Arabidopsis thaliana: one gene and its partner. The protein of the gene in region 1 interacts with the protein of each later gene in a pairwise test. Each region holds a gene or a part of one and is shown on either strand. Other genes may lie near its edges.

Region 1 (7,512 bases):
GGAGTCTTTTGGGCCCCTAAGAGGTTTCAACTTGGTCAAAGACAGGGAGACTGGAAATTCGAAGGGATATGCATTCTGTGTTTACCAAGATCCGTCAGTAACAGATATTGCATGTGCCGCTCTAAACGGGATTAAGATGGGTGATAAGACACTTACAGTTAGGCGTGCAATCCAGGGTGCAATTCAACCTAAACCCGAGCAAGAAGAAGTCTTACTTTATGCCCAACAACAGATTGCTTTGCAGGTAAAGGATTCTGATTCACTCTATCTAAATGATCAGTAATGCTAAATCTGTCTCAAACTTTGTTGCAGAGGCTTATGTTCCAACCAGGAGGTACTCCCACCAAGATTGTCTGTTTGACTCAAGTGGTTACAGCTGATGATCTTAGAGACGATGAAGAATATGCAGAGATAATGGAGGACATGCGACAAGAAGGTGGAAAATTCGGTAAGCAATTAGATTTTCTTATTGTCTGTTCTGACATTATACCAATAGCACATTACTGAGGCTCATGGTCTAAAATGAACTTTGATAAATCATTGTTGTGTGTGTAGGTAACTTAGTGAATGTTGTGATTCCGAGGCCTAATCCAGATCATGACCCAACACCAGGAGTTGGGAAGGTTAGATTTCAGTCCTCAGATACAAATGTCTACCAAATTCATATATAAATTGCATACTCTAATGGTAATACTAATGCAGGTTTTCTTAGAGTATGCGGATGTGGATGGCTCATCAAAGGCCAGATCGGGGATGAATGGAAGAAAATTTGGAGGAAACCAAGTAGTGGCTGTGTATTACCCCGAAGACAAGTATGCCCAAGGCGACTACGAAGACTGAGCTATCTATCGTCTTCTTCTTAAGCTTTTAGTTTGGATCTCTTAGCAACAAGTTTGGTTCTTTTTTATTTTTAAGTTTTTTACATGTTTAGTTCTCTCTCTACTAAATGGAGAAATTTGTCTAGAATCTGACTGCAATAGTACTTGTCCAGGCACAATCAATTAAGGTGTGTGTTGGTAATAGTAGCTTTTGGTTTCATTGAACACTAACCAAACCACATCAGTTTATATTATTGTTCTTTTAAAAACTAAAAGACCAAACCACATCAGTTTCTAAATGCAATGCTGGAACATGTGCAATTGCTCTCACTAAACGTGAAATACTGGATTTATATTAGAAAAGTAAGATAGTAGGCAAGTAGCACCAGTGGTCTAGTGGTAGAATAGTACCCTGCCACGGTACAGACCCGGGTTCAATTCCCGGCTGGTGCATTTGAGCGTTGATGAAATTTGCTTTAAGCTAAGGTTGGGTCCTTAGCAATTCTCCGATGAATCGGATAATATAGCCTCATATCTGAGCTCATTTGTTTTTTATTTTATTTTACAACGAAAGTTACATGTCATGCTTTCACAAGACACATCTCATGTTACACGAACTTGAAGTTATGCCTGATAACACATTAATTTATAATTTATTAAAATATATATAACAATAATTTGAAGTTAAAAAAAATGAAAGAATTTTAAAATAATTAAAATTTGATAATGTAACAAGTTCCATATCACATCAATAATGTAGATTAGTGATAAATTTTTTTTCATATTTAGTAGAAAATGATTTGTATATATGAATACATAATTAAATATGATACTTTTCACGATAACAATGTGTAGTGTTTTGACAACCAGGAGGAAGATGGTACTGGTTGACTGGAACTCTGACACAATTTTTGGGATCTTGAGTGCAGTCTGGAACTCTATCTTTTGCAATAGCTCTATATTTTATGTATCTTCCTTCTCCGAATCCGCTGAACAATGATAATACAATCACTATTGACACAAAGAAAAGACTAGTAAGACTCATTTTGTGTGCAGCCATTGTTTAGAAACCGAAAAATGATGTATTTAATCTTCTTGGTCTTTTTCTTTGTTGTTGTATTTTGCAGTTTGAGTTGGTGATTATTGGTTTTTTTTTTTTTTTTAATTTATAACAAGAGAGATGATTCTAAATACAGAAGGCCAGTGCATAATATGTGTGCATAAGGAACTTAGTGGATCTTATATTTCAATTTTGTTTCATTAGGAGGAATTTATGTTTCTTTCATTTTCTTTTTGGTATGAAATCTCTAGAGATAATTCTTTTCGTTTGTTCTGTTTGGTATGAAATCTCTAGAGATAAGAATAGTTACATGTCTTAGAATGAAACATTCCCTGCGATCTAATGGATAAGTTTATGGATAGGTTTAGTTACGATTATAGCAGCAATAATATATGGGAAAACTAGCTTCATGGACACAGAGACCAGCACTCATCTTCAAAAGAACACAACATGAGTTTCTCAAATCCTCTTTCTCTATCTCCAGTGGAATTACACACTACTGTACCAAGCCACCACGAGGCCGAGACAGAGCCAACAGAGTTCGAGAAGAATCAGAAACGGTACAAAGACCTAATCGCCACCTTTCTTCATACCAAAGGCTGGACAACTGACTTGTTTGCTAATAAAATCGACAATGAACCTTTCTTTTGTTATTTAATTAAATGTATTTCAGTCTCAATCAAACTGAACAAAATTTTGGTTTTATATTAGTAGCTTTTTTTTTTCCCAAACCAAAACACCGAAAAAATCCAAAAAATAATAATGCACAGCTAGATTAGATAATAGCCTAAATAAACAAGACATGATGATTAAGTAAGTTGGTTAAATCAAAGGATCAATGTTGAAATCAGTAATAACGATCATCAATGTGTAGATTATCCACTACGTTCTTTAACAAACTTGCAGAAGCGGAAGTTTCACCTTCGAGTTTGGTAATTTGATTTGTGTCTTTGTAGCCAAGCTGAAGAACCTCCTCATCCTCCTGATGAATCACTAAACTTCCATCTCTTTGATTGCTCTTCACGGCATCATCTAATCGTAGCCTCACATTGTTCAACATCCTCGAAACCGCATCGACTGCCTCTTTCAACTCGTCGACGTTCTCCAATCTGTCAAAGGCTTGGTCTTCCCACCAAAACCCTAACCCTGATCTGTTATCTTGGTTTGTGGGAAGAGATGGATGCTGATTGTGAAGGAGAGAGGAGACAACGTGATCGACAGAGGAATGACCGAAAGAGTAGAAAGAAGCATGGGAGTGGGAAGAAAGAGGAGTTGCTAAGATTGCGATTTGAGTCCCCGGAGAGAGGAGACAGAGCTCTGAAGCTTTGTGGAAGAGTCCGCTTTTGCGTTTTGTGAAAGCAACTGCTCTCACGTTCTTATCTTCGATTCTCTTCATCTCTATCTTTCTTTTTGTGCCTCCCATATTGAAACTTCAAAGGAAGAAAGCCAAATTACAGACAGAGATTGTTTGAAACTTGTAGAAAGCTAATTACACAGAAAGACAGAGATTGTTTTCATCGTCCTCTCTTTATACTAGTGTACTCTCTTCCCATATCTCAACTTTTTACATTATTGATTCATTCTCTATTAAGAAAATTTCCATAATGGGTTGTTTCCTTTTGTTTTTTTTTGGCAAAGGGGTTGTTTCCTAAGATTACCTTTTTTTGGAACTATTTTGGTAAAATACATAAGAGTACTACTCTTTTCTACTTGTTTTTCCTTTTTTTATGTTCACATTCTCTCATATGCCAAAACCCTAACCTTAGAGACGGTTTCTTGCGCGACAAGAGACACTCTATATCGTCTCTTTCCTCTGTTTGTCGAGTGGCTAAGATGCGATTATGGACAGAGGAGTCGTTGAAACTAATATTTGGTAGAGGTTATTAAATAGTTCGCAGTGGAGACATTTAGGGGTCGTGAATTGAGATTATAAGATAACCCATTGAAACTAGGGTTTTGCAATTACACAAATTTAAATATGAGGAAAATTTGACACGTGATACCGAAAGGATGATTTGAATTGCATGAGTATATAAATAGTTGCAGAATATGACATATTAACAATAGTTCATGGGACATGGTGGATTAGGTGTAAAGGTTTATTTAACCTAACCCTAAATCACACCCCGGTATGGGCAAATATGTTGCTTGACAGATGGTATTGAATTACTATTTTTGCAAATGTAAATGATTTCTATAGCTTCTTAATTTTTTAGTTTGTTTGGGTCCTTTAAAGTTTATGAACGTGTTATTTTTTGTTCTTCACTACCTTTTTGTGAGACTGACTCGCACTCCAATCGGGATCATCATCTTCTGCTACATTCGGATTAACGTTCTCGTCTCTTCTCCTCTTCCCTGAACCGGGACGGGTTTTGTAGTGGTCGTTGATGGTTGAATCTATGGTTTCCAATAACCGATCTCCGTATTTGCTCACCTTGGCTCTGTTTAGAGTTTAAAACACCAAAATCCCCCGAGTTTTCTTCATACCTTTGGTTATACAAAGAGAGAGAGTAGCGTTCAAAAAGCTTCAAGATACTTACTTTCCTAGACCATTGATATCAAGGAGTTCCTCTTTGGTTCTGGGAAGTCGTTTACTTATCTCTTTAAGCGTCGCATTGCTATAAACACACAAGGATTTTTCTATTACTTATGATCTGAGAAAGAAACTGAAAATATCATTAAATGGATCGTCAACTTACCCGAATATATGATATGCCATGACTAAATCTGGCGATTCTTTGACAATATCAGTCCGAAGATTTTTCAAGGCTGTCAACAAAATGCCGGAGAGATTCTAGACCGACATTGAGAAAAAATAAGCAGCCTTTAGCAATTTAGAGTGGTGGTTTTTAATCTTTGAGCAATAGATAGAAACAAGGATACAAGAAGATATACCGAATCTTGTGGGGCAGCTTTTGCCATTGGAAGGGTAGTTTGCTTAAGTGGAACTTTTGCTGGATTTGCTGTGGATTTGCTCTGCTTTGACACTTTTATGGTCGAAGGAAATCTGTAAGAGATATGCAAGTCTTAGCTAAAACTAACCTTTTTCAAAACGAATAAACATATAACCAACTCTATTAGCTCGCTCAAGAATATAGAACTACTGAAGAGCAGCAATAACATTGCAGTAAGAACAGGTAGATTTCAGAACATTTCCCAACGTTTGAGCTACTAATGACATCAATTTGGTTGCAAGTAGTTTATGTGAACATAAAAGAAAGATATATCTCGAGTGTAAAGTCAAACCTCATTGTTATACTCTGGCCTCCAGATAAGAGCGAGGCGGCCTTTGATCTGTTCACCTATACAAAAAGATAGATAAATAGATGTCACCTGTGTACACGCACACATTCATTCTTAAGCATAAATTAACCAGAGAGAAAAGCGCAAAAAGCAATATGTTACCAGAAACAAACCCCCAGCAACAATGATACATATCCACAAAGATCTCTTTTACAACATCAAATATAGTAAAAACCGATATAAGAATTATTTGTACCTTCAGCAATGACGATACAGATCCATACAGTTCACTTTTTTTAACACCCTCTGCGAGAATATCCTCTGTCACAAGGTAGTGCAAAATACGAGAGGCTTCACTTTTAGTTAAATGCTTTCCTGCTCCGTGGAGGTGCAAAGTGTCTTGTCTGTTTCTCTTGACCTAATCAAAAGCCAATTACTTGCAAGTGAGTGACACTGGTAGGATATGGGCTTGAAGATACCAGCGAAGTAAAGTAAACATGTTTTGTGAGACATAAATGGTTACCAGATTCTGGAAATAGAATAAATATAAGTGTTAGTTGTGCATACCGACTGGTTTAAGGATCCCCTGTAGATTTCTACAATATGAGCTGACGAAAATCTTTCTCCTGTTAGCTTAACCAGTGCCACCTATCCAGGCACAAAAGATTGAGGTACGTCACTGGTACAACATCCAGCAGGTAAAGTAATGATGAACTTCAGATGAATCCTATACCAGTTGCCTTGCAATCACAGTTACATCTTTGTCAATCAAAATTTTGCTGCTGGAACAATTATCACATGTGTTTTTGCAGTTTGTCGAATCAAATTTTTCTCCCAAATGAACTAGCTGTAAGAAACGTCGACAATCCACCTCATTTTCACAGTAACTAACCTGAAGCAGCAAAATATGGAAATATATCTCAGCAAGTAGAGTTCGAACTTTGAAAGCAAACACAGAGAATCTTGCCAATAGGTACCATGCGGAGAAGGTTTTCCGTGTTCGTTTCGAGCATCCTCCCTGAACTTGCTTTGCAATTATATCCCATTTTCATCTGGCCTTGGCCAAGTCCTCCTTGGCTAATCATATGCTTCACTCGAATCTGAAAAGATGTATTTTTTAACCACAAACATGACCAAGAGCGTAGGTATTCCCCCTGAGTTGTAACTTGATATTGTGATTTATGCAACTTACATAATCAGTGTAACTGTAATACAAAACACATGATGACCTCTGGCCGTCTCTACCAGCACGACCACATTCCTTGTATGAGAAAAAATACATCTTTTCAGTTTACTAGGATATTTATAAATCAGTTTACTAGGATATTTATAATTCAGTGTTCAAATAAAACACCTGATGATAGCCTTCTATGGACTTTGGTAGAGAATGATGAATTACAAAACGAACATCAGGCTTATTGATTCCTGAAATATCAACGTTAGCAGGCAGCAAACTTCAATCAATCAAAGTGGCTATAACAGAGACCATTAATTACCCATTCCAAATGCCACTGTAGCACATATTATATTGATTTCATCCTTGCTCCATTGTTTCTGTACAAAGGCACGTTTACCAGGATCCATACTGCCATGGTAGAAGGCCGCTTTATGGCCAAACACCTGAAATTGGAACATAACAAATGTGGTACGCTCACAATATGTAAAAACCTCCATTTAAACAGATACGAGAAAGGCCAACAAACGACTAACCCGCAATGCTTCCGTGACTTTTTCGCAGTCCATTCTTGAAAGACAATAAATGATGCCACATTCATCAAAATGGTTTTCCCGGATAAACTTGTCAATATCTTCCAAACACTTATTTGTCTTGGGAACAACAGAATACCTGCAAATTTTTTGGTAAGCAACATTCTGAAAGCAGCATTCTTTTAAGCTATTTTCAGTACATTACCATAGATTAGGGCGATTAAAACTTTGCCGGAAAACAACACAGTTTACCAGCCCGAGAGCTTGTACAACATCTTCTTTCACGCTGGTTGTTGCAGTAGCTGTCAAAGCTAACATGGGAATGTTTGGAAACTTCTGCTTCAGAACACCAAGACCCTGCATATTGCAGCATTGTTTTAAGAGATAAAAAAGGGAGCTTGTGTTTCTTAAAAACAGAAGTGTATAAGCAATGTCTGTTTTAAGCTTTACAGACGCTTCACCTGGTAGTCAGGTCGAAAGTCATGCCCCCACTGACTCACACAATGAGCTTCATCAATAACAAATCGAGCAAGCAAACTACGGGAGTTTAAGATTTCGAGGTGCCTTAAAAGGGATTCACTTCTGTAGTCAAGAAAGAGAAGCTTATCAGCTTGATGATGTTACTGGTAATGATGGGATGGGACAGAATTGCAATACTTACATTCCTAGAACTATAAGATGTAA
Region 2 (8,002 bases), on another chromosome or scaffold:
GTCATGCCCATTTTCTATATATACATCCATGCCACCTAAACCCTAACACACATAAAATTCTCATCCCATTCGTACAACTCCCAAAAAAAAACCATGTCCGCCTTCCCCACAAACCCTTACCGTCGCCGCCTAGCTTCAACCACCACAAGCGCAACGGTAGCCGTAGACTGCCATAAACAAGTTCGTTCATGGCGGCTCCTTCGCACCATCGCCCAACTTCTCATCCCATCTTGTTACTGCACAATCGTCGATCCAAATGATAGTCAAGAAGACAAATTATCTCACCGCCAAATTAAACCAAGAACCTCTTCCGCCTCCTCAACCGCCACAAACTCCACTTTTACCGGAACCATATTCGGTTTCCGTCGTGGCAAAGTAAACTTCTGCATCCAAGCAACAAACTCCAAAACCCTAAACCCAATCATTGTCCTCTTAGAGCTCACTGTCCCTACCGAGGTATTAGCCCGCGAAATGCAAGGAGGCGTGCTCAGGATCGCTCTCGAATCAAACAATAACGACGGATATGATTCACATGAAGATTCTTCCTCTTCACTTCTTACAACACCTTTATGGAACATGTATTGCAACGGTCGGAAAGTTGGATTCGCCATCAAACGAGAGCCTTCGAAGTCTGAGCTAGCTGCGTTGAAGGTGCTTACTCCGGTGGCTGAAGGAGCCGGAGTTGTTAACGGAGAAGAGATAAACCGAGAGAAAAGTGATCATATGATGTACTTAAGAGCGAGTTTCAAACGAGTTTTTGGTTCGTTTGATTCGGAATCTTTCCATCTCGTTGACCCACGTGGGATTATCGGTCAAGAACTAAGTATCTTCTTTTCTAGATCGTCAAAAAGATGATCTTGGATCGTTTTGTGTGTTCTAGCACAAGGATATCAATCGGTGCAATTGGATACTATAATTGGGATTATTTAGAGATTCATCATCATCGGTGGTTTTTTTCTTTCTTTCTTCCTTTTAAAAGGCAAACTTAACCGATTAATGTGTCTCGTAGATTTTTTTAGCAGTGCTTAATTAGATGAAAATGTAATAAGCATAGCTTTTGATGATCTCAACTTTTGTATGCTGTAGTGGTGACCATGTGTTCATGTGTTTCTTATAGTGCAAAGTTTTTTTAATCTTATATATTTGCTTTCTATTATTGTCAATAATTTGGGGAATAAAGTTAATGATTTCTGTTGGCCATCTATACAAATAGAATGTGTGTATATATACACATACAAGCAAATTGCATAGCTAAATTTCAAATATCGTTTATTATTTACAACAGTACTATACTTTACAAACTACTATAACTGTTTTATTTCAAGTATCAAAATGATATAGTAATTCATTTACAAAATACTATTATATATGGGCAGTTTTTTATAAATATAACATAAATCATATTCTTTATTTATTGTTTCAAATGATTATACTTTTGTGTAATTTATTCAAAACACAATTTTTTTTTTGTTGAATGCGAAAACACAATTATGGTTGACGTTGATCAACGAAAAAAAAAATGGGATTGCCTACTTAACTTGTAAATTTCGTGACAATGAAGAAGTTCCGGCTATTGTTTATTGTAACTAGTTTTAATTTGTCGAAATTTTCAACAATAATTAATACTCCATAGTAGATATAAAAAAAATACTCGTACGTGGGGATGAGGTCAACGAGAGTCGAGACTCATCATGGGAGAATAATAAGAGTCCACGCGGCGAATCCATCACTACAAGAACACTAACAACTATCGATTAAAATAATAATTTACATAACACAGAACCAGATAAGTTATTGGTATTATAACATTATTCATTCATTCGTGAGCTTTATACTTTTGCTTAGAGGGAATCAAGAACAGCTAAGACAACCAGCTTGCCACTTTCTCTGTCTCTTTCCAATGTTCTTTTGTTTTTGGCCAAAGAAATAGATCAATACATCACAAAATTCTACTCATTATTTTGGATGATCCGCAAAATATTACATTTTTTTGTAACTTGATAATCGAATTTTGAGAGGAACAAAAAATTTAAGCTATATTGCATAAAACTTGGAATTATTCTTCTTCCTTTTGTTTTGTCAACTAAAACTTGGATTATTCAATCAGGGTGATAACGTAATAATCCTTATAATCTTTAACAAAAAGTAATATAATCTTAGTAGCAAGAAGGAAACATAAAATGATAAATCTGACACCACACCATGTTATGTTTCTTGTTCTTGAGCAGTAACCATTAACCAACCACAATCTCAAAAACACAAACTGAAGTAAATTTAACGCGTCATACATGTCTCTCAATAATGATCGTCTTCGTCTGCATCTTCGGCTTATTGGGTATTACTAATAGGCCTTATTGCAAATAAATGGACTTTAAAAATTAATATTGGGCCGGGCCATAAAAACCTGGTGAAAGGATTGAGTTTTGAGACCAAATTAACCTTGTGGCGAACCAAATCAAATAAAAAACAAAATCGTACCAAATTCCCGGTTATTTTACGCGGTGGTGTTCCTCTCTCGACAGAATCGGAGGTCTTCCGGCGATAAGGTTCGTGGGTTTTGCGTATCGTTTGTTGGGTACTCGCTGGGATTGTTGTTGCTGTTGTAGAATTGGATAATAGTGGGGAGTGCTGGAGCAATGTGATATCGACTTTCTTGATAAAACACAAGGGCTAGTTTAATTGCAGATATTCAATCAGCTCAATCTTTATCTTCTTCCTCATACCATTACTCAGAAACTACACAGAGATTCTTCTTCTGCAAAAAGTCTAGAGGCTTCACGAACTCAGATCCACTCTCCATCTCCTTGTATATATTAGTTGATTCAGACAAGAAGGATACTAAGTTGCAAGAATTAAGGTTTTAAGATTATAATTTGTTTCATGCAAGTTTTTGTGAAAGATTTTTTATGGAAGTTCATATATATATGTCAATACTAACTGAAAAAAGTATCAACTTAAAAGTAAAAACAAAATCTCCACAAATGGATTTGTTTTCTTAACAAAAAAAAAAAACAAATGGATTTGTTTTGCAGTTATAATGACACTATAAAATATTAAAAAAAACAGTAACAGAAGAAATCGGAAGCAGAAACAGCTTCAATCTCTCTCCGATCCGCTTGCTACTTAACTATTGACTGACTCTTAATGAAGCTTCAAAAAAACAAATTCTTTTGGACAGATTTTGTTATCAGAGAAGTCTTGAGTTGCCAGGAAAACAATAACTGCTAGGAATGTTGTGGAGAGGTGGCAGAGAAGATGTCTGTAGCAGACTGCTCGCATCATAGCTTGAAAACATGTCTTGAGAGAAGCTAATGTTACCGACCGCATTACCATAAGGGTTCTGGTTGAAATCAGAAGAGAATTCATGTGGAACCGTGTTTGAGAGATTAGGATGTTGTAGACCGTTGTTGTTGTTGATGATTTCACTCACCATACACATGTTCTGATCAAAACCATGAAGCTGATCCTGTTGCTGCATCAAGTGATTATTCAACCCGTAGTTATTCACTGCAGATGCTTGTACCGAAAGTAACGGTGAGTAGTCTTGTGTGTTTGACACGCCAGGATGTTCAAAGTTGTTGTTGGTGATGTTGTCCGAACACATGTTCTGACCAAAACCATGCTGCATCAAGTGATTCTGGTAATTGATGAGTTGATTGGAGTGTGGAGCAGACAGTGGGAGTTGTGAGAGAGTAGCATCTCCATGGTTGTACATAAACAGCGAGAACTTGCTAGGATTCAAGTGTTGGGTCTGGTTCAGATACGATGGTGTTAAACTCTGATGCACCAAGTTTGTGTTCTGTAGTTTCTGCGCCTCAACAATACGAAGCCTTTCTTGCAGAGTAGAAAGAGTCCGTTCTAAGGACTGAATCAATTGAGAGAGTTGTTGAGGAGAGTAATGATCAAAGTTTGGATACCAATTCTTCTTCAAATTCGTCTTCCCCTTGTCCTTGTCCTTCTCCTTCTCGAGGAACTCATGAAGATTGCGGCTCTTCTTGCGTTTTCTGGCCTCTTTATACCTCAAAGCCATGTCTTTCACTGTCTCTCTCTCCTTAGGCCATGTTCTCAGTTCACCGTCTGGTCCGTAATAGATGACGCAAACCTCAATAGCACAGAGAATCGAAAGCTCTTCAGCTTTCTTGAAGATGGTTTTAAGTCTATTTGTTAAACTTGTTGAATTACGTGACGAAGAAGAAGAAGAAGCTTGCTTCATCGTGACTTTGCCTTGATTCGGCAAGAAACTAGGGTTTTTTCCGAGAGAGAGAACACACGAAGAAGAAGTATTGTCGAATTGAGGGTGAAACATTGTGAACTCAATATGTTTATATAGATGCCTTGGTGCCTACGGGAACAAGCAAACGCGACGCGTCGTTGTTAATCGCGAGGCGTGAAGATCTACGCTCCTACGATTCGATTCGATTTCCAATATCTAATGTAGATTTCCTTAATTAATGTCTCGATGGTAGAGACCAAAAAAAAAGGAAACTTTTAATTAGTTTCTCGATGGTACTTTATTTTAGGCTGTACAAAATTAAGATCTAATTAAAAAAATACTATAGATTTGATTGTGTAATTATTAATTGTGCAACAAAAACTTGGAGGAAAAAGGAAAATCTGTCTCTAAGAAAAAAACTCTTAATTGTTAATTAAGGGTTTTCAAAAAATTGAAGAAAGATTTCAACTCATTTTATTTCTAGGTTTCTTCTATCTTTTTTTTTTTCTTTTTTTTTCAAATTTTTTTTTACGTTATAGTTGTTAATTAAGGGTTTTCAAAAATCTATAAATTGTTTCTCCAATCAGAATGTTGTGAAAAATAACTAACATAAAAACACTCTTCAAATAATTAAAACTAAATGTTCGAAGGGTATATATATACTCACTCTGTTTATTGCAAAATTACCACTGTAAACGCATCACAATTCATATTGTGGAAGATTAATTCTTGTTATATATGTATTAGCTAGTCAAGAAAATACACAATAATTGGGAATGTGGAAGTCGACAAATGTAGTAACCAGCTTGCCTTATTATAGACACAACAATATATATAATAGGGTACAATTAATGTCAGATTGATAACGACGATCCAATAGTGAACCACAAATCACGAATTTTCAACTCACAAATAGACTCGTTTCTTTGTTAGATGAAATGTACCAATCATATAAAACGACATTGTGATTGGCAATCACAAAGAAATATAAATTGTTTATGCCTCATTAAATATATTACTTGAATGGTAAAGTATTAAGATTTGTTTTGCGATCATGAAAGTTAACATTCTTATTTGTTGTGTATATCTCTGAACGTTCTTATTGGATTATGTTATGTGGGATCTGTTGCTGAAGTATCCCTTTAGATTCATTTCATAATCCAATTTTCTTTATTTGATAGTATATTTGATTGCAGTCAATAAATAAATAAACTCCCTATAGATTGTTTTCCATCAATTGTAAGAGTTTTTATTTCTATTTGTAACTGAGGTTTTGAGCAAAAAGTCCATGGTATAAAAAATACCCCTTAGTCAAACATGAGAGATTTCATGACGATATATAAAGCGTAAAATCGGGTAAAATATAAAGTTATAAACTAATTGTTGATCTTAGTATTAAGAATTTATTGCATTCGTTTCTTAATTTATTGCGTAAAATCGGGTTAAAATTAATCAAATGGTTGATCTCTTCAGAGCTAGGGCTTCATTTCTTACATAAACGTCGTGAAAATTTGATTATTAAAGTCCTCCAAAGATTAATAAATTAAAACAAACCAACAAGACCCCATTATAAATACACGCATAAACATTACTTTGTGTAAAAGATAACGTAGCCATTAACTTTTATGCATTAACTCCTTCATTTCTTTTTGTGCTCGTTTGGTTGAGAGAGAGAGAGGCTATATATGATGTTCCAACAAGATTACCCTCATGGCTTTTCACTCGTGGAAACATCCTTAAGTTACGAAATGTTGGATTACTTTCAAAACATCGTCGTTTCGAACTCTGAAGACGTGGCGTCACAGCAAAATTCCATTTCGTCCTCTTCTTATTCATCAGCGACACTCTCCTGCTCCATAACAGAGCAAAAATCTCACTTAACTGAAAAGTTATCTCCTCTACGAGAAAGATATGGTTGCGGTGACTTTCTGTCGCGGAAGAGGAGAAGGAGAAGTGAAAAAACGATTGTAGATAAAGAGAATCAAAGGATGAATCACATTGCCGTCGAGCGTAACCGGAGAAAACAGATGAATCATTTTCTGTCTATCCTCAAGTCTATGATGCCTCTCTCTTATTCTCAACCTGTGAGTTTCTTTCTATCTTTAATTTAGCTTATAGGATATAAGCAGGCTAAGCAATGTTGATAATTTGATATGTTCGGTTAAAATTTAGTTTAGACAAAGAGTGTTAAGGTTCCTTATTAAAAGTAAGCCGTTAATTAAATAATAGTAATTTAGTATATTTGTTTTTGAATCAATTACTAAATAAAATTGCGAATTGATAAATTTTTGGGTTTTTCCTATAATAGAATGACCAAGCATCAATCATAGAAGGGACCATTAGCTATCTGAAGAAGCTAGAACAACGTCTCCAATCTCTCGAAGCCCAATTAAAAGCTACTAAACTCAATCAATCACCAAATATATTTTCCGACTTCTTCATGTTCCCTCAATACTCCACCGCCACTGCCACTGCCACCGCCACTGCCTCCTCATCCTCCTCGAGCCACCACCATCACAAGCGACTAGAGGTGGTTGCTGACGTGGAGGTTACAATGGTAGAAAGACATGCCAACATTAAAGTGTTAACGAAGACACAGCCAAGATTGCTCTTCAAGATTATCAATGAGTTTAACTCTTTAGGTTTAAGTACTCTTCATCTCAACCTCACAACTTCCAAAGACATGTCTCTCTTCACTTTTAGCGTCAAGGTAATCTATTCTCTTCCTCTCTTGTTTTAGGGGAAAAAGATAATATATATGATTATAGAAGTTGTTAGTTAACATAAATTTATATGAAATAACTAAAATAAGGCTTCTTGTTTTAAAAGTCAACTATATATGCTCAAAATGATTGGTCTCTGTATTAGGTAGAGGCAGATTGTCAATTGACGCCTTCTGGTAATGAGGTCGCAAATACGGTGCATGAAGTCGTTAGAAGAGTTCACAAGGAACGTTGAATTTTGTTTACATACTAGCTAACTTTGAAATTCTATTTTATTGTATAAACAATCTCTTATGTGTGTAATTTACATATATACAATTAATTAACATTAAAGTTGTTTAGTTTTTTTTTTTTTTTTGTTGGTTTACTGAGTTAATAACATTGTGTTGACGTCTATTAAATTGAGGATATAAAATACAAGCATGATGAATTGATGAGTATATGTAATCAGTTGAGTTTTAAAAAAATATTTGTGTATTCTTTTATACACTAGTAAAATTTGGTTATATTCAAGAAACATCAGATATTTAATATTATGGAAGAGCTAATTTTAAGCGCAATATAATAAGATTCACACGATGGGCCTTCTCATTACAAGAAATGGGCCTTTGAAACATATCTCGTATTTAGATCAGTAAAACCGGACGCGGATGCGATTCAATTTTGCATAACCGGATCATTGTTCCTCGAGATTACTGAAAGCTCGTGTAGATTACGAAATACGAACGAGCCTCGTCTACAATTAAACGCTAGTATCGGTGACCGAAACATCTGAAAAAGCATGCCTTCATTGAGCGGCCCAACTTACAAAATTTCTCTAGTTTACATTATTCGGATGGGGTAAATGTCATTTTGAAATCAAAATTTCATAAGAAATCATGTAGCATAATAGTTTGATAAAAGTTTATGGTAGTGTTGTTGATGTGTGATATTATGGTTTAAATTTGACACATGTTTTTGAGTAATAATATTTGGTGGATTTTTAAAAAGCATTGGATAAAGGTGTTTGGTAATGTGACCTTTTTACCTGTTTAGCTACATATTTAAATAGATATTTTATATAAGG

Evidence for each region. Proteins that work in one complex are often made in the same cells at the same time.
Region 2: the proteins of AGL55 (region 1) and AGL78 interact in a two-hybrid assay, tested with the Arabidopsis thaliana proteins (one large-scale study listed by BioGRID).

Annotation. Positions count from the first base shown.
Region 1 is NC_003070.9:22,426,967-22,434,478, forward strand, and holds AGL55 (AGAMOUS-like 55), read right to left. Parts: upstream 3,396-7,512; 5' UTR 3,302-3,395; coding exon 2,726-3,301; downstream 1-2,725. Other genes in the region: AT1G60900 (U2 snRNP auxilliary factor, large subunit, splicing factor), read left to right, coding at 1-244, 313-448, 556-623, 703-840; AT1G60913 (Rapid alkalinization factor (RALF) family protein), read right to left, coding at 1,639-1,878.
Region 2 is NC_003076.8:26,106,537-26,114,538, reverse strand, and holds AGL78 (AGAMOUS-like 78), read right to left. Parts: upstream 4,214-8,002; coding exon 3,188-4,213; 3' UTR 3,136-3,187; downstream 1-3,135. Other genes in the region: AT5G65340 (MIZU-KUSSEI-like protein (Protein of unknown function, DUF617)), read left to right, coding at 94-855; AT5G65320 (basic helix-loop-helix (bHLH) DNA-binding superfamily protein), read left to right, coding at 5,899-6,297, 6,522-6,923, 7,082-7,171.